Mytilus edulis: one gene and its partners. The main gene of each other region encodes a partner of the protein of the gene in region 2 in a complex. Links are inferred from orthologs where the notes say so. Each region holds a gene or a part of one and is shown on either strand. Other genes may lie near its edges. The genes, in order: pleiotropic regulator 1-like; SNW domain-containing protein 1-like; E3 ubiquitin-protein ligase RNF113A-like; RNA-binding motif protein, X-linked 2-like.

What was found.
Region 1: SNW domain-containing protein 1-like (region 2) and pleiotropic regulator 1-like share a complex: the UniProt entries of both Homo sapiens proteins name them as parts of the minor spliceosome. The link is inferred for Mytilus edulis from reciprocal best matches to the Homo sapiens genes SNW1 and PLRG1.
Region 3: SNW domain-containing protein 1-like (region 2) and E3 ubiquitin-protein ligase RNF113A-like share a complex: the UniProt entries of both Homo sapiens proteins name them as parts of the minor spliceosome. The link is inferred for Mytilus edulis from reciprocal best matches to the Homo sapiens genes SNW1 and RNF113A.
Region 4: SNW domain-containing protein 1-like (region 2) and RNA-binding motif protein, X-linked 2-like share a complex: the UniProt entries of both Homo sapiens proteins name them as parts of the minor spliceosome. The link is inferred for Mytilus edulis from reciprocal best matches to the Homo sapiens genes SNW1 and RBMX2.

The regions. Positions count from the first base shown.
Region 1 is NC_092351.1:69,143,416-69,151,286, forward strand, and holds the start of pleiotropic regulator 1-like, read left to right. Parts: upstream 1-4,854; 5' UTR 4,855-4,978; coding exon 4,979-4,987; intron 4,988-7,871. Other genes in the region: uncharacterized protein, read right to left, coding at 1-3,453. UniProt on the Homo sapiens protein: Involved in pre-mRNA splicing as component of the spliceosome. Component of the PRP19-CDC5L complex that forms an integral part of the spliceosome and is required for activating pre-mRNA splicing.
Region 2 is NC_092346.1:18,106,708-18,113,737, forward strand, and holds the start of SNW domain-containing protein 1-like, read right to left. Parts: upstream 3,002-7,030; 5' UTR 2,918-3,001; coding exon 2,898-2,917; intron 446-2,897; coding exon 376-445; intron 1-375. Other genes in the region: aarF domain-containing protein kinase 1-like, read left to right, coding at 5,564-5,704. UniProt on the Homo sapiens protein: Involved in pre-mRNA splicing as component of the spliceosome. As a component of the minor spliceosome, involved in the splicing of U12-type introns in pre-mRNAs.
Region 3 is NC_092345.1:33,823,226-33,830,453, forward strand, and holds the start of E3 ubiquitin-protein ligase RNF113A-like, read left to right. Parts: upstream 1-4,213; 5' UTR 4,214-4,268; coding exon 4,269-4,365; intron 4,366-7,228. Other genes in the region: D-ribitol-5-phosphate cytidylyltransferase-like, read right to left, coding at 1,953-2,113, 2,692-2,825. UniProt on the Homo sapiens protein: Required for pre-mRNA splicing as component of the spliceosome. As a component of the minor spliceosome, involved in the splicing of U12-type introns in pre-mRNAs. E3 ubiquitin-protein ligase that catalyzes the transfer of ubiquitin onto target proteins.
Region 4 is NC_092346.1:77,143,102-77,150,811, forward strand, and holds the start of RNA-binding motif protein, X-linked 2-like, read right to left. Parts: upstream 3,009-7,710; 5' UTR 2,883-3,008; coding exon 2,869-2,882; intron 1-2,868. Other genes in the region: oxaloacetate tautomerase FAHD1, mitochondrial-like, read left to right, coding at 4,359-4,426, 6,942-7,038. UniProt on the Homo sapiens protein: Involved in pre-mRNA splicing as component of the activated spliceosome. As a component of the minor spliceosome, involved in the splicing of U12-type introns in pre-mRNAs.

The DNA of each region.
Region 1 (7,871 bases), on a different chromosome or scaffold from region 2:
ATTCAAACTGATGTCTAACATATTAGCACGATGAAGAGCTTGTTGTCTGTTGCTTGGCAATGGCTGTCTTGGCACTCGGAACGGCAACGGTGCTACCCAACTTCCTTCCGAGTCTCTTACAAATTCGTTGTCCATCTGCTTCATGAACATTTTGTCCTCATATGACTGTCCAGGCTTGTCATCGTCTCTTGTTTTTTCAAAGAGTGGCGATTGTAGGTCTTTCGTTACAGGGTCTGTGTAGTTTTCCCGGATGTCAAACTTGCTTGTGCATGGTTGAAAGGTTGAAGGTTGTCCTGTAGGCAAAATGTTGGTTATTTTGACATTTAACTCAAGAGGAACATGCTGCTTGTTAATGCAGGTTTCTCCTATCACTACCCAACCAAGTTTCAATTGTTGTGCATATGGAGTTCTGGGTGGTCCTATGCGCTGATCGAGGACATGGTGTGCCTCTATAAGGTCTCTGCCAATTAAGAGAAGAATTTGGCAATTTTCCTCTATTGGTGGAATGCTACCTCTAAGTTCTTTTAAATGAGGGTGATGCATTGTTACTTCAGGAGTAGGTATTTCGTCCCTATTATTGGGAATATGATCACATTCAATCAGTACAGGAAGGTCAAACTTGTCATTACCATTGATTGATTCCATGACGAAACCTCTTCCTCTTTTGCCGGAAGTGACTACTTTGCCGGAGCATGTTGATAAAGTATAGTTTTCCGGTTTATCTTTGACGTCGAAAAGATTGAAGAATTCGGGCGATGCTAGTGACCGGTTGCTTTGGTCATCAATGATGGCGTACATGCGAATAACTTTGTACTGGTTATCTTTGTGATAAACATTCACAGGAAGTATTTTAGCACAAGATTTCCCACTATATGTATCTTTGCAGACCTCAGTACAGGTAGAGTTAACTGAGGTTGCCTTAGTTTCAGCCGATTCTATAGGCTCCCCGCCGTAGGCTTGCTTAGGCGAGCTAGACTGCGAACTTGTAGGTTGCTGTGGTCTAGTGATGTGAAGTGCGGTAGTGTGTTGTTTACTTCCACATTCTTTACAACTTATGCTTGCATTGCAATCCCGGCTTCTATGTGTGGTAGAATCACAACACTTGTAACATACATTGTTTTCTTTCAAAAGACCTTTGCGCTCCTCTATTGACTTGGCTCGGAACGCTCGACATTCATTTAAGGAATGCTTTGTATTGTGCAGAATACAAAGACCTTGTTTGCTGGCGTCTCTAGATTGCTGCTCAACTGCTGTTTTATGAGCACCAACTTTAGTCCTAGGGTAAGGCGTAGACCTTGGCGCAGCACCTTTTGTATTTGGTGTGGCTTTTGACCCAAAGATGAACCCAGGATCGTTCTTTGTTTTGCTGATTTCCCTGATGTAGGCAGAGAATTCTGTGAAAGGTGGAAAGGCAACGTCATATTTAGCCTTGTATCTTGTAGCCCTTGTGGTCCACTTTTCTTGGAGTCCGTACGGTAATTTTTCAACAATAGGATTTATCCCGGACGAGGAGTCAAAATATGCTAGCAAACATCCCAGCTTGGGATTTTCCTTGTGATATTCTATTTCTGATAGAATGTCAGACAGTTCGTAGAGACGTGCGTTGTCCTTATTTGTTAAGGTAGGGAATTTTTCAAGTTTACTCTTGAGAGAGGCTTCCAACATTTCTGGAGCACCATACCGCTCGTCAAGCCTCTTCCATAATCTCTGTATACCTATGGTAGGATTATTAGCGTTCGACGCTCTTATGCTAATGGCGTGTTTAGCAGACTCTGGACCGAGCCACTTGATCAGTAAATCGATCTGTTCTGAGTCAGAGACTTGTAACTCATCAGTCACGTTCTTGAAGCTTGCTTTCCAAGTATGAAATGACTCTGCCCGATCGTTAAAGCTTGTTAATCGGGAGAAAAGCAAGTCCTTGCGTAAAAGGAATCTAGTTATCTCTGATGTAAAGTTGATTTGTTGCTGGTGTGCAACAGGGATCTCTTCTACTATGCCTTGTTTTTGGTGTGAAACAGGGATCTCTTCTATAAAGTCTTGTTTTATGCGTAAGACAGGGATCGCTTCTTTAACACCCTGTTTTTGATGTTCAGTAGGGCTCTCATCTGAAAGACCTAATTTTTGTATGCCGGTTACTAATCCCAGATCTGGGATAAAGGTAACTTCCGGTGACTTAGTATCGGAAGGTAAGACAGCAGATGTCTGTGACAGCAAGTTCAGTGCCGCGGACGGCACGAACGCTGGTGCTTCGTGGCTCAGCTCAATTTTAACAGGAAATTGCTTTTTCTTTTGAGGTGCTGTTACTTCCTTTACAGCTGTTGATACAGGAAGTTTGTTGACAAAATCTTGCACACGCTGGAGCGGGTCTTCCTTTTCGTCAGGGAGATCGCTAAACGCTTGACTGTCATCGTATTCCAGAATACGAGCCTCGGCTTCTGCGGCTGCAGCCTCTCTGCGTGCTTCTAGAAGGTTTAACTTGGCCTTCAGCTCGACCTTTTCACGGCTTACACGTGCAGCCTCTTGTTTGATTTGTGCTTTTCTGCGTATGGCCTCTTGTTCTGCCTCATGTTCCATTTTAGCATTTGAACGTGCGGCTTCTTGTTCCATTTCGGCCTTTTTAAGTGTGGCTTCCTGTTCAATTATAGCTCTTTTGCGTGCAGCTTCCTGGTCCATCTCAGACTTTTTGTGTGCTGCTTCTTGTTCAAATATAGCTCTTTTGCGTGCAGCTTCCTGGTCCATCTCAGACTTTTTGCGTGCCGCTTCCTGTTCCATTTCAGATTGTCTGAACAGGGCTTGTTCCTCTAACATTGCCTCTTGTTGTAGGATAAGTGAATGTTGTTCAACAAAGGCTATTTTTGATTTAGCGGCCTCTGCTTTGGCACGCTTCCTCCGTGCTAGACTTGACATGCCTGACACGTTAGAGCTACCGCTGTGTGAGGTTTTCTTACCCTTTGAGCCTGAGGTCCTTGTTTTAGTTGATTTAGCCTTAGTAAGGGCAAGGCGATGCTCGTGTAGAGATTCCATGGCCAGTTCCACTTTGGACAGACGAAGATCCAATGTGAGGTTACATGCGTCTATGTCTTTTTGACTGTCCAACGTTCTGGTCCTTTTTAGGAAGTCCAGATATTCGTCTGTGAGCCTACGATAGTTTGTACAGGCTTTTACAAGATTGTCCTGAATTGTTAAGACTTGCTGAAGTTCATTGGGAGGTGTGGTGATTTCCAATAACTGGGTTGTTATATCTGACCAAAGGGCCTCTAGTTCCTCACAGAACTTGTTACGTTTTTCTGTGTAGGCTCCTTTACCTTTTTCGGTAAGATCCCGTACTCGCCTAGTCTCGGGATTTTCATCTAAATGTGTGGTATTAGACGGATTTTGTAATAGTTCTAGATCTGGGACATTTCCCTCTGGGGGCTGTATCTCTTCTTGTTGTTCCACATGACTGGGATCCATGTTGACTCAACGTTGTTGGGTTGCTGCTTAGTACACACAAGTTATGTAGTCCACTGTCAGTGTAAAGGTATGAACGTTGTTAGGTTGTCGTTCCTTGTCTGGATATGTAAAGACAGGTTGTCGTCAATTTACTATGCTGAGCCTGACTCAGCTAGTATAACCATGGGACTGTATCGCAATCTCGGCAAATTATAAAGAATAACAACTTGTGTTTGAAGATTGTAGATTATAATTCCACCAGAAATGACACAGGAGTTTTTACAGAGCGTGTATTGTTTGGTAAACTGAAAGAAATAAAAATACAATATTTACAATATGTACGAAAGAAATATATGAATGTTCAATGCAGTAATAATATCAAGTCAAAAACGAAAGTAGAATTCTCAGGTCAATTCATAGAAATAAACAATTACAGTTCGTATTTGTTGAATAAACGTGGAATTCAAGTTAACGGAATTAACGGTATATATATTTAACAGTTTATAATCGATTTGAAACGTACTTGACGGTGATTTGTCACAATATCCACAGGAGCAGATTTGTCGTGGCATCCATTTGCAATAGACAGGTGAGGAAGAGAAAGTAAACGGTAGTGAAAATACGGATAAGTCCAGATTATTTCCGGAAAATATGAATGTCTGAAAATTCAATCCAATAAACTTTATAGTAAATATAGTTGCGTATGTGATCCAGAATACTCCTGACTTGGAAATAGGCACATACAGAATGTGACTGCGTCAACTTAAGCATGCTAGTTGGTGTCCAATCCTCCCCTAATCAGGGACAGTGGTGTAATAGTACAGCATAAAGATTATTATGTGGTCATTGAATAAAAAAAATCTATAGGGTGTACCAATGCTTTTTTTATAACAAAATACATACTATAAGTTATTGTACAAGTAATAAGTGAATTATAATTTGTACCAAATGCTACATGTTCACAGACAACGGAATTTATTACAAAGGATAATAATAATATATACTGGAATGGTCCTGGATCCAATTGATTTTAATATGTTTACTGAAATTCTTCTGCAAATACTGCAGGGCCACCCGATATTACCAGTAGAAAGACCCCAATAGATATACATTGTAAGAAGATGTGGTAAGCGTGCAAATGGGACTATTATCCATTCAAATCACAATTTTCAATTATCTTCAATTTCTACGGAAGATTTGCTGTCAAAATGCTAACATTCGAATTTTCAATAACAGTTAACAGCAAATAGATTCTCACAATAACAGATAACAAAATAGATAATAGTCCTATAACAACTAACAAAGAATAAGACAATAACAGCTAACAGTAAATATATTTATAATTTAGGGTACGTTGTTATGTATGTTTATTTTTCAGGAAACATATTATGTTATTCTTTCTTGGTTCTAATCGATATGAACCCCACTAGACTTGCAGCTGCCGGCAACTATTTATTAATCAACAGTTATCTCCCTTATACAGAAGCCGTGCAAACAACGTTTTTTTTGGGTTATTTTCTAGTGTACCTATCTAAGAAAAATCAGCATGGTAGAGGTAATATAAATAGAAAATATTATATACAGTAAATGACCATAAGTGTTCGTCACCAGGATCGCCTGTAGTTGGTGATCGCAATACTGGTATTAAAATTTTGTATTCCAGTATCGTACCAGTATTGTGGTTTTTTTTTTAAATAAACAATACACGGCCAACAATACATATGAGACAATATCTGAAAAAGTATAATTTTTGGCAATAAGAAAAAAAAAATGTCTTTAGACCTGGTATTTTAATAGCACAAATCAAAGAACACACCTTGAGGATCTAGATACCGTGTTGTCTGTAATTCAGACAATTCTTATTGTGGTAACAATGGCATTTTTAAAAATGGTACAAAAAAAATCCAGTTCTTAAAAATCCTCTCTTTTAGCACTTTGATATTCCACTGTTACATTACACACTAAAAACAAAACCCAAACAATATGCTGATATGGGAAAGGTAACATCATACCTGCCAACTTTTCAAAATGCCCATGGGGGTTTTATGGAATCCGGGTCCGTCTGCCCTGATTCTGGTTCGCCCTAGTGTCTGTTTGCCCTAATACCTGTTCGCCCTGAGTCCGTTCGCCCTGAGTCCGTTCGCCCTGATTTTTTTTTATAGTATAGTGTTGCGTTGTGTGTATATAATTGAATGTGTTGAGGTCAGTCTACAATTTGGACGAATATTTACGATGATCATGTTGTTTATAGCTAGCTGCTACTGGGACTAGGTTATAAGTTTCTGTATATTTCAGGACTACAAGATATTGTGACTTCAAGGTATTGCCTTGAGAAGTAAGTTTGTATCTATGTTATTACCATGATTACGTTACTAGGAAATATTCAATAACAGTTATAACAAGATCAATTCCGAACTGTACTTCGCACACCTTTATTTCCTAAACGAATATTTAAAAGCACTTATTTGAATTACTATTAGTGAAACAAATACCAAAAACACAGTCACACTGCTGTACATTGATCACTTGTCATCAGTGTTTTTACCCATCCAAGCTGACTATTTTATTTGAGAAAAATGTTATTTTCATTATTAATCCATCAAACATGTCAAAGACAATTCAAATAACAATCAGTGATATCAAAGATTTCAAATGATACCTTATCAGCAATCAAAATGCAATCAACAGTAATTAAAAGTAATTATAAAATAAAGTGTAACAATGCAGCCAAGAATTTTATTTAATTAATATAAATTTGGCAAATATTCTGTTATTTTCTTTTACATTGTAATAGATATACATAAATTTCAATATATATATATATAGAATGTTGTAATTTATTCCAATGAAGAAGGCCGTAATGGCCGAAACATATGGGAATTTGTGTTATAGTTTTTATTATATATATATATATATATTTCATTCATTAATGTAACATATACATATCATGAATGAATATAGGGCGAACGAACCCAGGGCGAACGAACCCAGGGCGAACAAACTCAGTGCGAACGAACCTAGGGCGAACATGTAATTAGGGCGAACGATCCTGATACCGGTTTTATGTGCAAGTGTAAATCAAAATATTGTCCTATGAAATGTTGTACCACAAGACAATATTTCATAACTATGTATTATGAAATATTGTCCTCGTCTATGGAAAAATGTCCTGAGAATGACAAATTTTCATAGTGAAATTTTGTCTGTATGTAGAAAAGAATCCATGACAAATCGCCCCACTTTTTCACAAACTTGCCCCACTTTCTAAAAAAATCGCCCCACTCTTGTTAACCAACTCGCCCCACTTATGAAAAAGGATAAAAAGGTTTCCTTTTAAGTGTTATACAAAAAACTAAGCTTACAAGTATAAAGTTATTCTCCAATAATGATACAAACACATTTTTATACGACCGCAAAATTTGAAAAATTTTTCGTCGTATATTGCTATCACGTTGGCGTCGTCGTCGTCCTGCGTCCGAATACTTTTAGTTTTCGCACTCTAACTTTAGTAAAAGTGAATGGAAATCTATGAAATTTTAACACAAGGTTTATGACCACAAAAGGAAGGTTGGCATTGATTTTGGGAGTTTTGGTCCCAACATTTTAGGAATTAGGGGCCAAAAAGGGCCCAAATAAGCATTTTCTTGGTTTTCGCACTATAACTTTAGTTTAAGTTAATAGAAATCTATGAAATTTTGACACAAGGTTTATGACCACAAAAGAACGGTTGGGATTGATTTTGGGAGTTTTGGTTTCAACAGTTTAGGAATTAGGGGCCAAAAAAGTGCCCAAATAAGCATTATTCTTGGTTTTCGCACAATAACTTTAGTTTAAGTAAATAGAAATCAATGAAATTTAAACACAATGTTAATGACTACAAAAGGAAGGTTGGTATTGATTTTGGGAGTTTAGGTCCCAACAGTTTAGGAATTAGGGGCCAAAAAGGGACCCAAATAAGCATTTTTCTTGGTTTTCGCACCATAACGCTTGTATAAGTAAATAGAAATCTATGAAATTTAAACACAAGGTTTATGACCATAAAAGGAAGGTTGGTATTGATTTTGGGAGTTTTGGTCCCAACAGAATAAGGGGCCCAAAGGGTCCAAAATTAAACTTTGTTTGATTTCATCAAAATTGAATAATTGGGGTTCTTTGATATGCCGAATCTAACTGTCATGACTGTGTATGTAGATTCTTAACCTTTGGTCCCGTTTTCAAATTGGTCTACATTAAGGTCCAAAGGGTCCAAAATTAAACTTAGTTTGATTTTGACAAAGAATGAATCAGTTAGGTTCTTTGATATGCTGAATCTAAAAATGTACTTAGATTCTTGATTATTGGCCCAGTTTTCAAGTTGGTCCAAATCGGGGTCCAAAATTAAACTTTGTTTGATTTCATCAAAAATTGAAGAAATGGGGTTCTTTGATATACCAAATCTA
Region 2 (7,030 bases):
TTTCCAATTATAAATATTATAAAAAATAAAAATAGTTTACACGACGACTGTAAACAGATAAGGGTAAACAACGCAAATGGTTGCCAATAAAAGGGTGGAGAACTCATGGTTTTGGAATATAATGGGTTTTCCTTTGAATTAATTGGGTTATTGAACCCTGCAATGGGCAATTGCATTGGGTTTTTTATTATTTGTATTGCGTGATCACGCAAATACGCAGCTTATCTGGAGCTCTGACTGTTTCAAATTTCATTTGAATAAAATATATAAGAAACTCAGAAGGCACAGTCAAATCAATATTTCATTTACAACTTATCTAACAATATAAGCCATGTGAATCTGATTTTCTATGATGAATGTGTTCCTTGTTTGTACCTGCATTTGTTGTCTAAATGACCTATCTTCATCTTCTCTGTCATATCTTTGCACCGGTGAAGGCAATATACTGAAATGAAAATAAGTTTAAATAAAGATGTTCTTTTACTGTTAGGCCACACTTAAAAAATATTTTGGTTTGCCCAAACCCTACCTAAAGGTAAAAACAGTAGGAAGTTGGTAGGAAGGCATTTTCTTTTCTTATTTTTGGCAAAGAGAAATTGAAGTGTCAGATGTCTTTTACTCTTCATGCATATCAGAATGTTCAGTAAAAGATTTTGAGTATGCAGATATTTTCTGGGTAGGTAAGGTTAGGGCAAACAAACATTTTATTTTGTATGGCCTAATAGAAAGAAGCAACAATTGTAGGGAAAAGAGCACCCAATTATTTTTTTAAACACTTGAAAACAAATGAATTTAAACTTATATCCGTCAGGAAATCTGTTACATTCATTTTTATTTTTGTTTACATAAATAAAGCAGTTACATGTAGTTTTCTATTTGAATTGTTTTACATTTGTCATTTGAGAGCCGTTTCTAGCTAACTATGCAGTATGGGCTTTGCTCATTGTTGAAGGCTGTATGGTGACTGTAGTCAATTTCTGTGCTTTCTGTCTCTAAAGAATTGTCTTATTTGGAATCATACCACATCTTTTTTTTTTGACATAAATCATTTGAAGGCAAAATAACAGTGACTGTCATGACTGTCATACACAGTCACATGTATAACTGATTTGTGTATCAATCATAAATCTGAAATCAGTATATATACTAGGGCAATGATTCAATGACCAGCTTACAGTTGTATGCCACCTTACATTTGATAAATGGGTCAATTGAGATCAATGTGTCCCCTCACCTCCCAATGGGGGGGCTGCTGACTGACCTTAAAGGGAGTGCCTGCTGACTGACCTAAAGGGGGGCACTCCAGTCATGCTTCAGTGTTTCCCTATATAATCAACAAATTTTTTCCCATGAAAAGGGGGGCAGGCTGCCCATGCCCCAATTTTTAAATTTTTTTCTTGTATGAATCGAGGATATGCAAGGTTTTATTTGCCCTTGAAATCCCGGCAATTTTTATTGTAAAATCATGCAGTAGAAGGAAAATTGGAGGACAATAAAAACAAATATTTTGACAAATATGCAAATGGCGTAAATTGGAAAACGAAGCTGTAAATATGGATATATTTCAGCATTTCTATGGTGAAACTGACAACGAGGATTAGTTAAAAGGTTTCTTGTTATCTCAATGTGTTTATTACAATAAATTTGTGTAGGAAATATGAATTGATCGATCATTACGAGACGTAGAAAAAGGGGGGAAAACGGAGGTTGACTGAAAATTTTGAGGACGGAGCCACTGATTTGTGCCACGATTACATAATACCTTGTGTATGGTGCAATACGCTACGGAATCGAGCAATTGGTGTCTTCTTTATTATATGGCAGATAAAACAACAAAATAGATGAAGACGAAATTAGTTTTTTATTCAAAATTCAACACAAATGTAATAAATTACACCTTTTACCTGGTAATTACCTGAAAATGCAGGTAACCTGATAAAAATTTTACTGAAATAACTGCCTAACATTACAGTTCATACTCTCCTGAGCATTTTTCATACAATAACTTTCTCTGTATCTCTTATAATAAAAAAGATACAGCAGTCTGAAAAGAAATATACTGTTCTAATGAATGAACACAAGTCACAAAAAAATGCAGCAGCAGCAGCCATTTTTCTATTTCTTTGTGTAGCGTTGAAAGGGTTAATCAACTGAGCTGGGGAATCGATTCTTTGGCTCAGTGGGTTAATGGATCAAATTTCCAATATTCAAAAAACTATTCCTTTATTCTAATACACCTTATCGCCATTTGTCCGCCATTACTGGATATCACACAGGTTACCGTAAAATTTTGACGTCATAAAGCAAAATATCTGACGCCACAATGGAAAAGTGATTGTTGTTGACATCAAAAGTTCAAGCGGCCGGGTCAGCCGGGATAAGCAATAAGGTGTATTATTATTCTGAATCTGATGACATTAAATTATAAAACCCAAGGTGGGTACACGTAGCCTAGACATAAGACATAAAACTTTAATTAGAGTCGGTATAGATGCATTACAAGTACAACTGTACAAAAATAAACTCTGCAGAGCTTTTAAAACCGAAGAGCCTACGAAGACGAATAATTGGCTATGCGTCCCCCTTATGTATATGAGAAAAAAATAAAGTTATTAGCAAGTGTGGATTATATGAAATAAGCGCAATTTTGAAGGTAACAAAAAAAAAGGTTGTTAATTTTAAGAATACACATAAAATAAAGTACCGCTCATCACCCATTCAGACCCTCGTAATGTTCAAAGACCGGTTCTGTCGCGTGTTTTATTAGTTTGGAGCTGAGTAGGGCCTGAAAGTGCAGATTTTTACAAAATTTGGTTAACTTTTTATTTATTTGACATTTTGCGATAATTGTATTGACCATTATTAGATGTATATTGTAAAAACAATTTGGAACTTACTCCACAAGTTTCATCGCCATCTTGTTTGTCGATATTACGTATTTATTCCCTCCCTTTACCTTCTTTTCGAAAACAACGAAAAAGTCAGTCACTCATTCGGAATTCACTATGACTTTTCGTTCGTTGTGTGTAAATGATCATGAGGATTGAGGATTATGAAACAGACGATCTAGAACTAAGAAAGACAAGGGTATGGACACTGACGTTTATTTTGTCACTTCAAAATTTATATATCCCGAACCTGTATCATACTATAAATAGCAAGCTATTGGACCCAATTTCGAAGATATTTCAATGAGAAATTCAAGACAGTTCTTGAATCAGCTTCAGATTTGACCTTTGACTTTGTTATATTTTTATGTTCATTGATTCATTTGCATAGTGATCCATAGTCCAAATAATTATGACGTCTTGAAAGGCTATTATAATTTTTTTCTTTGACGCCTTAATTCGACAGGCTATTATAGTTTTTTTTCTTTGACGCCTTACGCTAGGGCGCTAGCCTTTCAAGGCTTCATAATTATTTGGACTGTCATTGGCATTGCATAAACAGTGGGTCTCATTGGGGTCTTAGCGTGAAGTGGGATTGCTGATTTTTTGTAAGCATGACACGTGTCAAATTATTGTGCCATGAAAACGGGAAATGAAATCTGGCGGTACATGGGAAATTCCAAAAAGTGAGAATTGCTTACGTACATAGTGTAAGCGGGATATGGGAATCTGACAAAACAGTAAGCGGGATCTGGGATCAGAATCCCCCATTGAGACCCCCTTAAAAGAGTCTTCATTTAGATGAAGAAAAAAAATCACTGTATTTTTTAACAAATAACATCAACACAATTTTAGGAATAAATGATTCAGTTTGTCAACAGATCAAAATATGAGTGAAAAAAATAGAACGACTGTATACATACATCTTATCGCTATTTATCTGCCATTAATGAATATCACACAGGTTCCCGTAAAATTTTGACGTCATAAAACAAAATATCTGACGCCACAATGGAAAAGTGATTGTTGTATGCGTCAAAAGTTCAAATGGCCGGGTCAGCCGGGATTAGTGATAAGGTGTATTGTCCTTTCACCTTGGTTTCTGTTCCCACTGAGAAGCTAGGCTCCAGGTCATTTTGAAATGAATTGCTTCGCCCTAGGTCATTTCGCACTAGACACTGCCAGAGTGGTTTTGAAAATATATTTACATACATGTATCAGATATCGACACGATTTTCGAAATAAATTAAGTGCAATTTTACCGTAAATTTACTGTTGCAATAACTATAGAATAACTAATCGAAGAATTCATATATAGAGAAAAATATTCAATGAGTGACCAATCAACACATTTTTGATTGGATGTGACTTACCTAAAAGATGCTTTTTGTATAATTTTCCATTTAAAATGGACTTTAATTTCTTGTGTTGAATAATTTATTTTATATTTTGGTTTTTTAAATACATTTCATATCCTTGACTTTTGATTAACATGTTTTAGTATGAAATCAGTTTGAAATCTGAGTTTGGACACTGAGTGACAGTTGAATCTGTTACCTAATTTGTGACAATGTGCTTTTAAACATCGAATTAATCAATAGCACTAATGACAGTTACCAGTTTCAATCATTAGATAGATATATGAAGATGTGATGTGAGTGCCAATGAGACAACTCTCAATCCAAATAACAATTTATAAAAGTAAACCATTAAAGGTCAATGTATGGCCTTCATTACAGAGCCTTGGCTCACACCGAACAACAAGCTATAAAGGGCCCCAAAATTACTAGTGTAAAACCATTCAAACAGTGAATTGCCTTGATTGTCTCAGTCTGCGTCGTTAGCCACTAGTCTGATGCCCCAGACTAGTAAATATTGATTCGGACTAGTGGAAATTTTCAAAATTTTATATAGTCATATAGGTACAAGTTTTCATATTTAGTTTCCGGACTAGTAGATGAAAAAGTTTTTGGCACAGACTGTATTAAATGTCTTGAACCATCCCATAAGTTGCAAATGACATTGTATATATAGAGATTTTTTAACTTTAGCTCATCTAAGACCTGTGCATTTGAGCAAAAAAAAAAATTATCATTTTGTTCATATGAAATATAATTATCTAATGCATCATAACAATAAGATGTGAAATGATAACTGACGAGACAACTATCCTAAACAAACCAAAAGACATAGATGTAAGCAACTATAGATCACTGTATGGCCTTCAACAATGAGCAAAACCCATAACATATAGCTATGTAGCTTAGAAAGTAGAAAAGTACTGACATAACAATGTAAAAACTATTCAAATGGGAACAGCCTAATTAAGGTACAAAACAATATTTCATTGAAAAAGAAAAAAAAAATATTAGTTTAAACATATTTATTTACATTTGGAAACAAGTTATTGCAACTTATATTAATCCCTTTCCACTTTGCAGGTGTGAGTGCAGCCTTGTAGTATGTACAATGAGTCTCTGAAATTATCTCTAGAATGGGGATTGAACCAGGAACCTTTGTGTTAGTATTCTGATGCGCTAACCACTACAACACAGCTCTCCTAAAAACTAATAACCAAATATGATAAACACCAACCAACTACAACATATACAACCACTGAATATCCACTAAAATACAATTTTGACTTGGGACTTATTTTTTTCAGATCGTGTAGAATGAGTAGACACCTCCTCAAGAAAACCTTGAAATATCTGACTGTTGGAGGACTAGGAACAGGGTCAGGCTATTTTCTGTATAAAAATGATTGGGAGGTTTCTACCATTGGAGTAGTAAGATTTGGACGTGCAGCTTTTACAGTAGGTATTTTAATCAAATATTGGTTAGAATTAAAATCACAGTTGTTTAATTAGGTCTTTCCACTTTTCTGTGGAAAGAACTATTGTATTTGTTCTGATTATTTATTTTTGTTCCAGCCAAATTTTGTTCTTGCGATAAATGTTTGTTTCGCAATATGTCGCTTAGATATTTCTCATATTGTATCGTATAGTTTATGTGCTTTTAAATTTCACCCTGCTAAACTGAACCATTTTCTTTGTAAGAGTTATCTCCCTATTCACTGTTTATCATCAGAGTGCATCTCCTTCGTAACAAAAAAAGATATTGACAAAATTTCTTTTACAAATTGTTCGTTACAGCCTCAGGAATTTTTAGCTAATTTGAATCGAAGCGATTCGATGAACTTTTATATGAGTTATCTACCTTTACGAAATAAATTTGTCGGTATGTGTTATTAACTTATAAACCATTTACCCTATAACCCTGGAAAGTTTTTATTTGAGGCCCCTACGTCCTTACTTAGAAAGGTCAAGGTCAAGTTCTCAATTGTGACTTTTCCTTGTTTTTGCATTTTCTCCAACACTTTAAAAGATATGAATAAAAGAACAAGTGCATAATGATTGCTTTATGGTAATGAAGATATGTTACATTTGGTCTGATACAATCTCATGGCATCTTATAAGAATTAGTGCCCCTGAAATGTCTAATTATAAGGTTAATTGATTATTACTTCAACTTGGTTCATTATAAAGCCAAATGACCTTTAACAAAAGGTTGGGTGACATATGACCTTGAAAATTGACAACCGGAAGTGACATTGAAAAAAACCGGAAGTAACCTTTTTTGCACTTTTTCATGAAAAATTACTCTGAATCCATATATTTTGTAATTTTGATACCTTTTCTTATCACTTAAAACTTAAACTGACTTTTGATAAGCGGGAAGTGGTCAATTATTCCTGGTTTACAAACAAAAGTATTAGAAACTATATATTTTTGGAATCAGTGTGAAAGAAGCTATCATATGAGACTGGAAGTGACATTTACTTCACCGGAAGTAGCACATTATCTCCCTTATTTCCCATCAAAGTATATAGAAAACCATTATTTATTCAATCAGTATGAAGAAACTTATGATTGGATGCCATTTTTAACTTTCAGTTAACAGGAACTACAAATGTACCGTACCTTCTTTTCAACAATTATTTCAAATTAATTTATTGTGGAAAGACCTTCAATTGTTCTCTGAACAATTGGTTTTTAATTTATATTATTTTGTATCATCAGAGCATATATTTTCATAAGCACTTAAGACTGTAAATTACCTAACAAAGATGAGAAATTGCC
Region 3 (7,228 bases), on a different chromosome or scaffold from region 2:
CCACAATCATCATTGGGGTATCTAGTTTAAAAAATGTGTCCGGTGACCCGGCCAACCAACCAAGATGGCCGCCATGGCTAAAAATAGAACATAGGGGTAAAATGCAGTTTTTGGCTTATAACTCAAAAACCAAAGCATTTAGAGCAAATCTGACATGGGGTAATATTGTTCAACAGGTCAAGATCTATCTGCCCTGAAATTTTCAGTTGAATCGGACATTTCGTTGTTGGGTTGCTGCCCCTGAAATGGTAATTTTAAGGAAATTTTGCTGTTTTTGGTTATTATCTTGAATATTATTATAGATAGAGATAAACTGTAAACAGCAATAATGTTCAACAAAGTAAGATCTACAAATAAGTCCACATGATCAAAATGGTCAGTTGACCACTTTAGGAGTTATTGGCCTTTATAGTCAATTTTTAACCATTTTTCGTAAATCTTAGTCATCTTTTAGAAAAATCTTCTCCTCTGAAACTACTGGGCCAAATTAAACCAAACATGGCCACAATCATCATTGGGGTATCTAGTTTTAAAAATGTGTCTGGTGACCCGGTCAACCAACCAAAATGGCCGCCATGGCTAAAAATAGAACATGGGGGTAAAATGCAGTTTTTCGCTTATAACTCAAAAACCAAAGCATTTAGAGCAAATCTGACATGGAATAAAATTGTTAATCCGGTCAAAATCTATCTGCCCTGAAATTTTCAGATGAATCGGACAACCTGTTGTTGGGTTGCTGCCCCTGAATTGGTAATTTTAAGGAAATTTTACTGTTTTTGGTTATTATCTTGAATATTATTATAGATAGAGATAAACTGTAAACAGCAATAATGTTCAGCAAAGTAAGATTTACAAAAAAGTCAACATGACCAAAATGGTCAGTTGACCAATTTAGGAGTTATTGCTCTTTATAGTCAATTTTTAACCATTTTTCGTAAATCTTAGTAATCTTTTACAAAAATCTTCTCCTCTGAAACTACTGGGCCAAATTAATCCAGACTTAGCCACAATCATCATTGGGGTTTCTAGTTTAAAAAATGTGTCCGGTGACCCGGCCAACTAACCAAGATGGCCGCCACGCCTAAAAATAGAACATAGGGGTAAAATGCAGTTTTTGGCTTATAACTCAAAAACCAAAGCATTTAGAGCAAATCTAACAGGGGTAATATTGTTCATCACGTCAAGATCTATCTGCCCTGAAATTTTCAGATGAATCGGACATTCCGTTGTTGGGTTGCTGCCCCTGAAATGGTAATTTTAAGGAAATTTTGCTGTTTTTGGTTATTATCTTGAATATTATTATAGATAGAGATAAACTGTAAACGGCAATAATGTACAGCAAAGTAAGACCTAAAAAGAAGTCAACATGACCAAAATGGTCAATTGACCCCTAAGGAGTTATTGCCCTTTATATAGTCATTTTTTTTTAACAATTTTCACAAAATTTGTAAAATTTTACTAACATTTTCCACTGTAACTACTGGGTCAAGTTCATTATAGATAGAGATAATTGTAAGCAGCAAGAATGTTCAGTAAAGTAATATCTACAAACACATCACCATCACCAAACCACAATTTTGTCTTGAATCCATCTGTGTCCTTTGTTTAGTATTCACATAGACCAAGGTGAGCGACACAGGCTCTTTAGAGCCTCTAGTTTTCAATGTTACTGAAGACCCTTATGTGACTTTTAGTTTTAAATAAACGTTGATTGATTAAAACTTGTTCCTATTTGTCTTCTTTTTTATATTTCCCATAAACATGATAAAGTGCTCTGTTATTGTGTACATATCTCAACTGATTTCAAATTGTATGATATTTTGTTTTTTTGTGTTAATAAGCACTTTTTTTCTAAATGCTTTTTTTTGTATGCAAAATCTTCATAAACATGGAGAAAACAGATTCATTCATACATTCATTTAAAAAATCAAGTTATGCAACATAAAATGTACCTGTTTCCAGTGCTTTGACACCATTATAAATTGATCTGTGTCTTGTTGGAGATCCAGTAACTAACTTCACTTTAGTAAATTTATATTTTGTTAGTAAATTCTGCATGAACTCCAGATAACTCTCATCAACCACAACGACAATCATTTTTATCCAGCTTAGTCTGAAAATTGGGAAAAAAGACTGAAATTTAAACAGCACATAATTCATTGAAAACAGAGAATTTTTTAGATTAAGAGTTTATTAAAAATTCTAGAAATGGAAAGGTTTAGATCATTGGATGTAACTGTAGCCATGTGTAGCGTTGTCATTAGTTTTCTTCTTAAAAAAAAGGCTTTCCATTGGCCACAAACTTTTTTGAGACCATGAATGTATGATTACACCCCTATGATCATGTATGCATGTTCACCTTGAAGAATTTTAAAATGCTTCAAATTCATAGCTTGCGTTTGTAAGGTAAAATTTGGAGATATTCAACTTCTTCAATGCTAATCCTCATGGCTTGCCAAAATTCCTAACTTTAATTAACCATTCAAATATTCATCGGTTTGTCTAAATTCATGCTGGGGAAAATCTGAGTACATAAGAAATCTTTTACAATATTTGGAATGTCCATGCATTTCCATTTTTACATATACATTGTATCTATGAAATCTGTGTATTGTAATAGAGGTCTGTTTAGTAATTTACAGTGTTGTTTTGGTGTACTTATTTCCATTCTAACATAGCACAAACATTTACCTATGAAAACTATGTATTGTGTAGAGTATAAGAGGTCTGTTTAGGACTTTGCAATATTGTTTAGGTGTGTCCATTTCCATTCTTACACCACATCCACCGGCAGGTAAAACCACACAAACATTTTCTAAATCCATTTTTGAAACTGAAAAATATATACATGTAACTCATAAAACTGTTTGAAACATATTTTACAAATGTGCTGCATTTGTTTGCACCTGTCCTAAGTCCCGGACCTGGAGTCGGTTACACAAAAAACTTATGATTATGATTGATCGAAAGTAGTAAACAATTCAGTATAATTAGGATACATCTTAGTCGTAAATTTTTTTGTGAAACTAACTCCTGTTGTTCAGTGGTTATTGATGTGGAAATTCATAAGTGTTTCTCATTTCTTGTTTTTATTAAATAGACTTTATAATAAAATAACGATTTTGTAAATAAGGGGGACGGCAAAAAATGTATTGTCCCAAGTGCCTTTGGAAATTTAGGGATATTTTAATTCCTTTACCTGTTTACTGCTTATATAAACAACAATGTTTAAAACATTCTTGATGAGAGCCATTGCCGTAGTGGTTATAGTGCATCAGACTACTAACCATGCTAACACAAAAGTTCCTGGTTTGAATCCTGTTCCGTGATGAAAATTTCAGGGACTGAATTAGTATAGATAGTAAAATTAGGTATTTTCTCTGAGTCGTTTAAGTCATTAGAAATGAGACATGTACAGTAGTGATAGATATGTATTATAAATATAGAAAATTGAATATTTGAATCAACAACAAAAAAATATCTGTATCCTATACCCAAGCGCTTGTGAATAAACGTATTTACACTTTTGGTATTTAGCTGAATCTTGCCTCCGAATGACCTTAGATCAACTCCGAATCACCTTCTGACGTCAAGCAACAATCACTTTTAAATTGTGACGTCAAATATTTTGAATTATGATGTCAAAGTTTACGGGAACCTGTGTGATTTTACGTAATGGCGGACAATTTGCATACAAGTGTAAATACATCTATTTAGGGCTCTCCCTTGGCATCATTTTCTAGTATGGTCTTGAGGAAACGAGGATAGTCTGTCAAAAGGGGATGATAAATGGCTGACCGGGCGTGTTCATCTCTTGCAAGTTAAAGACACCCTTGCATATTTTGAAATAGAGCAGGCTAATGCTGCTACATTTTGTACAAGGCAGCACACGCACAGGAAAAGTGGAAAAGGATTAATATAAGTTGCAAAACTTGCTTCTCTATCACCTGTAAATAAATCTATGAAATACATGTTTAAACTAAACTAAAACATTCTTTTACAAGGTTTTGAATTTTTGGGAACTTTTTGCATTTGTCCAAGGTAAATATAGTAGGCCTTGGAACAATATATCTCCCTATTTGCTCCTGTTTATACTTTGATTTTCAATATACAAATTTTACCTTTTTTACCACGTGTATTTGTTGTTGTTTATGCGGAAAATAGAAGCAATATCTATAACGTGTAATTTGATTGGACACTGAAGTTTTCGTTCATTTATATTCCAATCGCAGAGTTCGTTATTTTTACGCGTCGGAAAATAGTCCAAAATGTCGGACGATGGATCATCACAAAAATCCTGCGTATTTTTTAAGAAAAGCAGGAAAAATCAGCCCACTAGGAAACGGAAAACATCTGAATCTGATGGTATAACATACATTTTTAATATGTGCTCATTGTGTTAGGAAAATGAATTAATTTCGAGATCAGACAGCCATTTTGAACAAAACAAGTATGGTTTTTTATTTTGACGTTTTTCAGACGTCCATGTATATCACATGATAAACAAGACCAGATATTATGAAATTGAACGCTTCTTGTTGTAAATTCCATGTGGTTCAAAAGCGTTGACCGAGGTACATTTTTAATAAGGCATGGCAACACGTATTACTATTAATACTATAAATGTGGCACAATCACAGGGGCTATATAGGGGGGGGGGTGTAGGAGGAATCCAGGTCTGTTCGCGCCCAGTCACGTTCGCGCCCAGTCTTGTTTGCAAATTTCACTTCCACACCCTACGTACACGTTACCACTAAAAGTCCATCTGCACCTTACACATTCGCGCACATTCTTAATGGTTTCAAGTTTTGGCAAGTGTATTCCTTTAAGTACAATTTGTTGTCATTGTCTCAAAAATAAATTGAGACAACGTTTTTTTTGTGTTGCAGTCTGCACGGTTAGCCACTAGTCTGATGCCCCAGACTAGTAAAATTTCATTCGGACTAGTAAGTTTTTGCAAATTTTATTAAAGGTAAAGATCCACATGCATGACATGATATAAAAATAAAATGTTTGAAATAAAAAAAAAGATTTGATGCTAAATTCTTGACCTGAAAGGAGATACGTGACGTGTATAGAAAAGACCTAACATTCTACAAGAAGACTTATTCTTACTTCACTAATTGTTTAATTTTTTATCAATATATGTGTATTACTAATCATGCTAATGTTAGTGTAACGTGTAACTAGGCGTTTATATCTCAAACGTCCGTTCCAGTAAATACTTGGATCCAATTGTCCACAAACAATATGGTAATACTAAAAACTACAACTATCTATATATTATGCACAATGAACTAAAATATACACACGGACTCTTTGCCGATATAAAGTAACAACGGACAATTATATATATATACAAATATAATACAATAAAACAGCCTGTCCTCAAGATGGGACGATGTGACACAGTGTCACTAAAAGACAGTATGGCTGGTACAGTCTGTCTGTATCAGACAGTGTGTGCTGGTACAGCCTGTCCTCCGAGTGGGACAGTCTGTCAATACCAGACAGTGCGGGCTGGTACAAGTTGTCCTCCGAGTGGGACAGTCTTTCACTACCAGACAGTGGGACAGTCTGCTATGTCAACATGTACTTCCACTTTGTACCCAGTACAAAGTATACTCTGAATACCAAGGCCCTTCTAGCACTTAAAATATCCGAAGTACGCTCAGTTGAAGGATGACAGCTCATCGACAGCCAACCGACAGCCTCGAGTGCTGTTTCTCACTCTCTTATATACCTGTGGTCGATACCACTATTTACTTGATAGGGGTGTTCTCTAAATGTTACCCTTACGGAGCATAGAGGAAATCATAGAGTCCCTTACGACCACCCCTATAACTTTCGACCCGACAACTGATTTTCCCGCCAAACATCTAAATCTGCCTAACTCTTTTTCTAGCGTAAACCATGCATTTCTAAGCTAAGATTCTACTCAACTGTAACCTTAACGACCAATAAACATTACATTAGTATGTTCTTTTTTAATTTTTTTTACAATTCTTAAGAAACTGTAAGTAAATGAAGTATAGCTGCATATATACTAAATTTAGTCCTGGTACATGTATCTATGATGAGTTTATATATATGTATCTGATCATGTTTCTGTTTCTGATGATTGTCGACAATGTGACTTATCTGCAATTTTTAATAAAGAAAACATTAGGTTTACAAATATATTAATGTTCCAGCAGATGGAAAAAAACATATCACTGCTTTTATCATTCAGTAATATTTATAATTTATTTATTTATTGATGTTACAGAGGATGATGCACATTTAAAACACATAAATTGCATATTAAATTCACACATATCAATGTATCACCATCTTCGCTAGCTAAGGGTTACGATCCACTCCCTTTCTCCATGTTCTCTTCACCCTTGGCACTTGGCAGATTAAGCCAACATTTGTAAAAACAATGTTGCGCCATCTATCGGAAGATTAAAGTCACGCCCATTCCGAATACATTATTCTTGACTAATGGTAGCACTTGAACTCTTCAATTTGGAGGTAAAAACATGGTAGCGTCTAGATTCTACACACTTGATAAAGCCAGAAACAAAAATATACATCAACATTCATGCATTTGTGCATGAAACATACACAGGAACTTCTACCAATTGAACAAAAACATTAAAGTTGTCACTAAATATAGTCGTATGTTTATAGAATGTTAAGACTTGTTGCACAATAAACACGTGGCATTTGTTTACAAACACTTTCTTCATTTACATGTGATCATGTTATAGGTGCTTTTTGATTGGATGCAGCGAGTTTCGACTGCAACCAACATGACCAATAAAAATCCTTACCTTGTGTCTCCAAAATTTTATCTCAATCCACCAAGGGTGAAGAGAAAGGGAGTGGATCATAACCCTTGGCTAACGAAGATGATGTATCACATACAAAGCAAATTTAGCAATTGTATAGAGCAAGAATAAAATTTTTGAAGCACATCTATAAGACAACATGCATTGCCATTTTCATCATGCACATCTAAAGTACACAGCACATTTGAAACACTCAAAGCACATATAAAACATAAATATTTATCACATACATATGCATGTACAACACACTTATGTATATCTAAAAGACAAAATGCAAAATAAAAATAGTTTTGGTAACATGGTCTATGGAAAAATCAAAATGGCAGTCGAAATGCTAAAAGACCAATTGTATTCAAGTACTTGTAGATTTGCAAATTGTAAAGAATTATTAT
Region 4 (7,710 bases), about 59 Mb from region 2:
TCATGGTCTTAACTCTTTTTTTGTAATCATCTATATACATGTAAGAAGTACCTATAAATCACTAGACTATTTTTTTTTTTTAATGTTACTGTAGCTTTAAATACAAATGTATATATTGATCTTGGGACATTATTCGAACTAACATCTGTGTTTATATAGAAGACAGGTAATGATAATCTGGTACTGAATCTTGAATAATTACAAAAAAAATCACTTGTTAAAGTATATTATAACTTTATTTCTTAAATTATATCACTCTTTTAAGTTGTTTTTTTTTCCAAATGCACCACATTATTTCTCAAATTTTGGACTTGGAAATATATCATCATTATTTAAAGCCTTCATTATACTATAGCATTTTTTTTATTCAGCAAATCAAGAATTTACAGATGAATATTGTATCTTAGCAGCAAAAGGTGTTTTTTTTTCAATTTTACTAATATAATGAAACTATCTTAACATCTAAACTACATTTGTATATTTGAAATTTTGATAAACTCTAAATCACAGAATTTCTTATCTGCTAATTAATTCCCCAGTCTGTTTACACCAGTCTGTTTACACCACAAAATTTACTTGGAGTATAGGCCAATTTGTTCACCTGGAAATGGTTAAAAATTATAAATGCATGGTTAAAATTCAAAACTATATTTCATTTAAAATTACTAAAGGGAGATAATTTCTTTACCTCTATTGGGCTTTAACTTGTCTTAGCTATAGCTGATGCTTACAAACAGATAATTATCTTATATTTAGAGTCCGACTTATATTGTGAGTATTGAATGAATTTGACATACTGTGAAATCATTACTTTTCATGGGGTTTAAATTTCGTAGTTTTGTGCATATATACAAGATTTCATTGGGATTTAACTTTTCATGGTTTCCAAGAAAATCGAAGTGATATTATATGTAGGTTAAATTTTCGTGGGGGATTTAGTTTTGTTGATATATTCTTTCCACGAAACAAACGAAGTTAAATCCTTCACGAAAATGTCTGCTTTTGCAGTATACATGTATGTTTGCCACTAGGATTGCATTAATATCAATTTAATATACATGTATATATATATAAATTTGAAAATATGTCTTATTTTGTCAACCTTAAGGTTAAAATGGGAGTCCTTCTTATGTTTTTTACATTCTGATATTGAATGATTTATTGTTTTCTGTTCCTATCGGTGTCAAGACTATAACAAGTTCAGATTCTGTTGATGTTACTAATGTACATTACAGTGATTACTGACATATAACCTGATCATGAATCCGCTTTCAAGACTTTTTAAAGAAAAAGTGTAAGACATTTTTCAATTAAAAGTTTTGGCTGTTGGCAAAAAGACCTTTGAAAAGAACCCATCTATACATATTCAAAATTCGAACCTCACATGTGAAAAAACAGTAAAATTATTAGGCATTGAAATAGACTACCAGCTAAATTTTGATGTTCATGTCAGCTCAATCTGTAGGAAGGCATCACAGCAATTAAATGTTTTAAAACGTTTAGGCTCATTTTTGGATAGACTTAGTAAACTTACTATATTTCATACTTTTATTCTTAGTAATTTTAATTTTTGCCCTTTGGCATGGCATTTTTGCACTGAGAAAAATTCCAAAAAACTAGAAAAGGTGCAGGAAAGAGCACTCCGTTTTGTTTATGAGGATTTTACCAGCTCCTACGAGGACCTCTTACTTAAAGCTAAGGTGCCTTCCTTGCAGATCAGACGGATAAGAACAATGGCTCTAGAAACTTTTAAAATTATAAACAACATCGCTCCTGTGTGCTTACAAAATTTGGTGAATGTCAAAAAATCTAAATATTCTTTCAGGTATGTAAATATTCTTGAAATTCCACAGGTAAAGTCAACCCGTTACGGTAAAAAATCGTTCAAATTTGCTGCTGCTACTTTATGGAACAGTCTTCCAAACCATTTCAGGACTGAAAACAGTTTTTCACATTTTAAAAGTCTTGTTCAGTCCTGGAACGGTTTGGAATGTCACTGTTCTGCTTGCAGATAATTCTTAAACTGTTTTATTATTTATGCTGCTTTTGGTTGCTCTGGTCAAGCATGTTTTTACTTCATTCTAAATTTGTTGATTATTTTTATTGCATGCTATGTATGTGAGATTCAACTTTGTATTACAGGTTGTTTTATATGTCAAAATGCACTGTTTTTATGTTATTTATATGTTTTTATATTCGGTCAAAAGCTCCTTAGAGCTTGTGTTGCTTATTTGTACTCATGCCGAATCAAAATAAAGTTTTCTTATCTTATCTTATCTTAAAAGGATTAATGGAAAAACCTGCCAGATTTAACAGTGAGAGCAAACACTTTAATAACTTAATAAATAAAAGTGAAATTCAAAATGCCGAAATCGATGGGTCACTGTGAAAACTGTCTACTAATGAGAAAATAAAGGTTGGCAGGTAAGTGAAACTTACATAAATGAAGAGATAATTTATGAAAAATGAACAGATTGATGCCCGATTTATATAATTCCAAGGCCGTCAGTCGGCAGCAGAAGCGACGAAGCAGCGCATCTATTTTGGGTGGGCAAATATCCACTTTTTGATATAAGACGAGCTCTGACGTCCCACGGCCCCAGCTTGTCTGGCAAAACAGCCGTTGGACGTCAGAGTAATCTCGGACTAATTTACGATATAACAAGTTTTAGCGGGGTTGACAGCCTATAAAGCGGCATATAACGGTACTTCGTCACCACCTGACATTTTTCTAAAATGCAAGTTAAGTACTTTGTGTTATAATAAGGTATATAGGAAATTTTTTCTGAGACAAGTGCCTGTGATCAGGTAATTTTTGTGAAAAATAAAAATCGTGTTCCATTCATATAATTTAAGCAGAATATTTACGTGAGAGGATTCATGTCCTATTGCTAACTAATCAATATATCTTTCCAATGTCACGTAGAGTTGCTAAAACTGATCAAACAGCAAGACAACGAAACCAGAAAAACATTTTGCTTTTTATACCTTTTTCAGCCCTTCTTAAAGAAGAGTTTCAGCTTGTCATTTTCGCCCCAAAATACATTCGCCACAAATGATATATCATCATGTCATCTAACTAATACTCAACCTTTATAAATGACAAGTTTTGCTGGTTTTTACTTTTGTTGTGCATTATTCAGCTTTTTTTGTTGAATTCAAGAAAGGGAAGATGAAGGTAAAACTTTTTATTTTGCCCTCAGATTTAAAACCATCGTGTAAATCAAAGTTTGGCCCCGAAAACTACTCGCCCCAACTTCGTCTCATCATCAAACAAATACTTACTTGGTATAAATAGAGACATATTATACATGTCTCTGCTATAACATTATAAAGTATTCATATTTTACCGTTCCCATCTATGGCCCGGTTTTTATATTTTAAGTCAGTATATTTTTTTTTTTCTTATTTATGTATAGTACGTAATTTACTTTTCTTTACTTTTCTTTCATAGCAGAAAACATATCGTTTTCCCAAATTTTGTTATATTTCTATCCGACTGACTTTAAAAAGAAAGTTTTCAAATGAGGCTATATTTAATTTTAATAACAATTTTTCCCCAGTAAAACTAATAACATAATTGAATCGACCTAGTAAACATTGTACGTAAGGAGACTATCTGCACAATTTGTATTTTTATCAATTAAATGATTGCCAAGAAGATCTAACAAGGACAACGATTCATCTAATGGTGGAATATACTTCATAATAACTAAAAGAGACACTCATCTAGTAGTGGAATATACAGCTCGCACTCCATAATAACTAAAAGAGACACTCATCTAGTAGTGGAATATACAGCTCGCACTCCATAATAACTAAAAGAGACACTCATCTAGCAGTGGAATATACAGCTCGCACTCCACACTAGCTTAAAAGAGATATTCATCTAGTATAGTGGAATATAAATCCCACATTTCACATTAGATAAAAATAGACATTTTATCTAGCGGCAGAATAAACAGTTAACTCTGTGCATTAGCTGAAAAGAGACACGGAGAAACCATTATTAAAATGTTCTGACAGCTCTATTTTAAGGTCTACTTATGACTTTAGATGGTAATGATAATAAGCATAATAACACGGACGACATACCAAGAAGACTTAGCTAGTAACCCCAAAGTATTTAGAGAAATCAGACCATTATTATTTTTACTATAACTACACAAGTTATACTGAAATCGTGATTGAAGATATCAACGGACAAACGGTGCTTTTAAGCAAACAAAAGTATTTAAGATGAGATAACAGAATCAAAGTTTACATTGATAATACGTATAATTTATAGTTGATTTGAGAAAGGTATAAAGCACAAATTTACGAGTTCATATATATATGTATGTTAGTTGGCCTTCGAAATGGCTGAAAGATTGAAACAATTTAGAGAAATTGGGAAGAAAATAGTCGCAGTCTGCCGAAACTACAAGTTAGTATTACCTTCTACTCTATAAAATCATAAGTATACGTTTGTCAGTTATTTGATGTACCCACTCCACAGATGAGACAAAGGACCATAAAGGTTATCAAATTTCTCATATTTGGTCAATTTTATTCTGATGCAAAAATGATTTTTTTTATATGTTTTATTCATTTAAAATAATTGAACAAAATCAGATGAACAAATATCAGGTAGCTAACCTTTTTAGACCACATCAGAGATCGATTGAAGGAATTGTAAAAGAAAAAACACCTGCAGATAGCAAGATTTTGCGTATCTGTTTTATCGACACAAACAGATATGATAGTCCAGGACTTTGCAAAGGCATTTGATAAAGTCAGCCATCCACGCATGCTACACAAGCTCAGACACTATGGGATAAGAGGGAAAATCACAAATGGATCACAGCATTTTTAGACAACAGAACACAGGCAGTTGTACTGGAAAATAAGTATTCAGACAAAGTGGGAGTAACATCTTGAGTATCCCAAGGCAGTGTACTTGGACCTGTCCTTTTCCTTATCTTCATCAATGACATCACTGATGATATACAGTCAACAATTCGTCTGTTTGTTGATGATTGCGCCATCTACCGGCAAATTATAACTACCAAAGATCAAGCCATCCTTCAAAAAGAGATGACTACCTTGACGAAACGGGAACAGAAATGGAAAATGGAATTTAATGTCAGCAAATGCAACGTGATGCACCTAACAAGATCTAAAACCCCCCCATAAAAGAACCCTATTACATGCATCATGGGAAACAACTAGAAGCAGTCACAGACACGAAATACTTGGGAATTACCATCAAAAATTACCTTAGCTGGAACCTACACATACACAACATTGTAGCCAGTGCAAACCAAGCACAAGGGATGCTTAGCAGAAACATCAAAAAAGCTCCACAACAAACAAAAACCAATGCTGTCAACGCACTTATAAGACCAATGGAGTATAGCGCAGCCATATGGGATCCCTATACGCAAGAAAATATTGACAAAATAGAGCGGCTCGCTATATTTTCAACGACTACAGTAACCAATCGAGTGTCACAAGCATGATAAGCAAGCTTAACTTGATACCTCTCTACCAACGAAGAGTAAACATCAGATTATGCATATTTTACAAAATTGTAAATGAGCTAGTAGCAGTTCCAACAGATACTTACCTCATCCCACTAAATAGAACATCAAGACACTACAATACCATGACATACACCATCTTCAACCCAAGACATGATTACTACAAATTCTCATTCTTTCCAAGAAAGGTAATAGCCTGGAATAAATTACCGGAATCGAAAGTGATCGAAGCTTTCAAGATACTGGTTACCGAGATGATGGAATGTTTTTTTTATCCTGCACCAACTGTACAGCATGCACCATATTTTCTTTTTTGATCCTTGATCTTTTATTGTAAATAGACATCTACGTAACGCACAAGTAATGAGTACTCGTTATTGAGTTTAACTACTATATCTAAGAAGAAGAAGGTATTTAAAGCGGAAAGGGGTAAATATCGCTTTGAAACTTAACTTACATATGTATATATATATATATATATATATAGAGAGAGAGAGAGAGAGAGAGAGAGAGAGAGAGAGAGAGAGAGAGAGAGAGAGAGAGAGAGAGTCTATAAGAATCTACCAACCAGTAAACTTAATAGGTATTGGATCATCAAAATTGACAATACTACACAAACAGGAAAAATTATATGAGTCTCGCACAAAGATGGAAAAACTGAACAGATGATATAAATTATACAATAATTGCAAATATTTCGGCTCAACAAATGGCCTTCTTCGGTGCAAAAGTTTTAACAATACTGATATATAATGTATAAGGTGTAAAGATAGATGTATATATATACAACTCGTCTAAACATCAACCCAACAATGTTAGATCTGTAAATTTGCTTTCGCAAATTTTTGGTTCTTCCCTCGCCGGGATTCGAACCCATGCTACTGTGATATCGTGACACCAAATCGCCTGCACTGCAGCCGTCCCGCTAGACCACACGACCACCTGGGCTCTCAAAAAAAAAAGCTTTCGCTGGCCGTTTGTTACCTTTCCTCGTCAGTTTTAATCTAGCGGCGTACTACAGTACATGATATAGAAGGCATGAAGATGTTATTGTTACAGATCAGCTAAATTATCTATTGTAAAGGATCCTACAAATTAATGTAATATACAGTCACAGAAAATAATTATATTTATAAGTACGTCTGAGTCAGTGACAACTCTACAACAGATGTATCCATCGGATCGCCATCAATGATGGTGATACATGGCTGTGTACATAATGTATATACAACATATATATTTTAGAGATTGATGTCTATATTAAGATTATCAGAACCACCAAGACTCACCAGTAAACTCTTTATTGGACTAATTCTGTTTTAGAGTTTTAGAGTATTTTAATGTTAAAAGTTTAATGAAATACATTCACTCTTTTGCGACTTATCTTGTATACAATCTTTATTAAGTTTGATTTTACAGAGGTCTTACTGCTGCTCAAGGCATACCCAATCCGAAGACGCCAAGCCTGTTTGCAAAGCCAACAACTGCATACATCACCGAAGGACAATCTATTCGTGTATGTTACTCTTTTAAAACTTACTGCAGTACCAATTTCACGGTGGGTAAAGTTGTCCTGCGAGAAAACGGTCTGTGCTGTTATTTCGGTCCTGACCGGTGCTTGTGATCATGCATCGAAAATATGTAAACAAAGACGAATATTATGATTTTTGACGTTTTTTTCTCATAAAGAATGGAAGGAAACAGTTGAGATTTTTTTATTTTTTTATTTTTTTTTATGGGTTCAAGGCAACCATTAGAAATGTGACCATTCAAGCTGTTTCAGTGAGCGTAATACAAACATACTAATTTTCAGAAAATCTAGAAATGAAAAAATAAAACAAAAATGCTCCTGGAGTCCGCCATTTATATCCAAATCCACACGACAAAATTATTTTGTGAAAACCCCTTGTAATTTATTAAAATTTTGCATTTTCTCTCTTTATTCATGTCATGATATTGTGCTGGTGGGTCCTGTCATTGTGCTAGTGGGTCCTGATACGATGCTGGTGATTTTGGATAAAAAGTTGGTCATATTTGAAACAAATGTTACAAAATCAATAAAATTGGATAGATAATTGTATTCAATCGGATCTGTGACTCATATTTTTACTTTTGTGCACCCATTTGACTGTTTAATAAGCATTTTCAAATAATCGTAACTTATTACATAAAGGCCAACATATTCCGT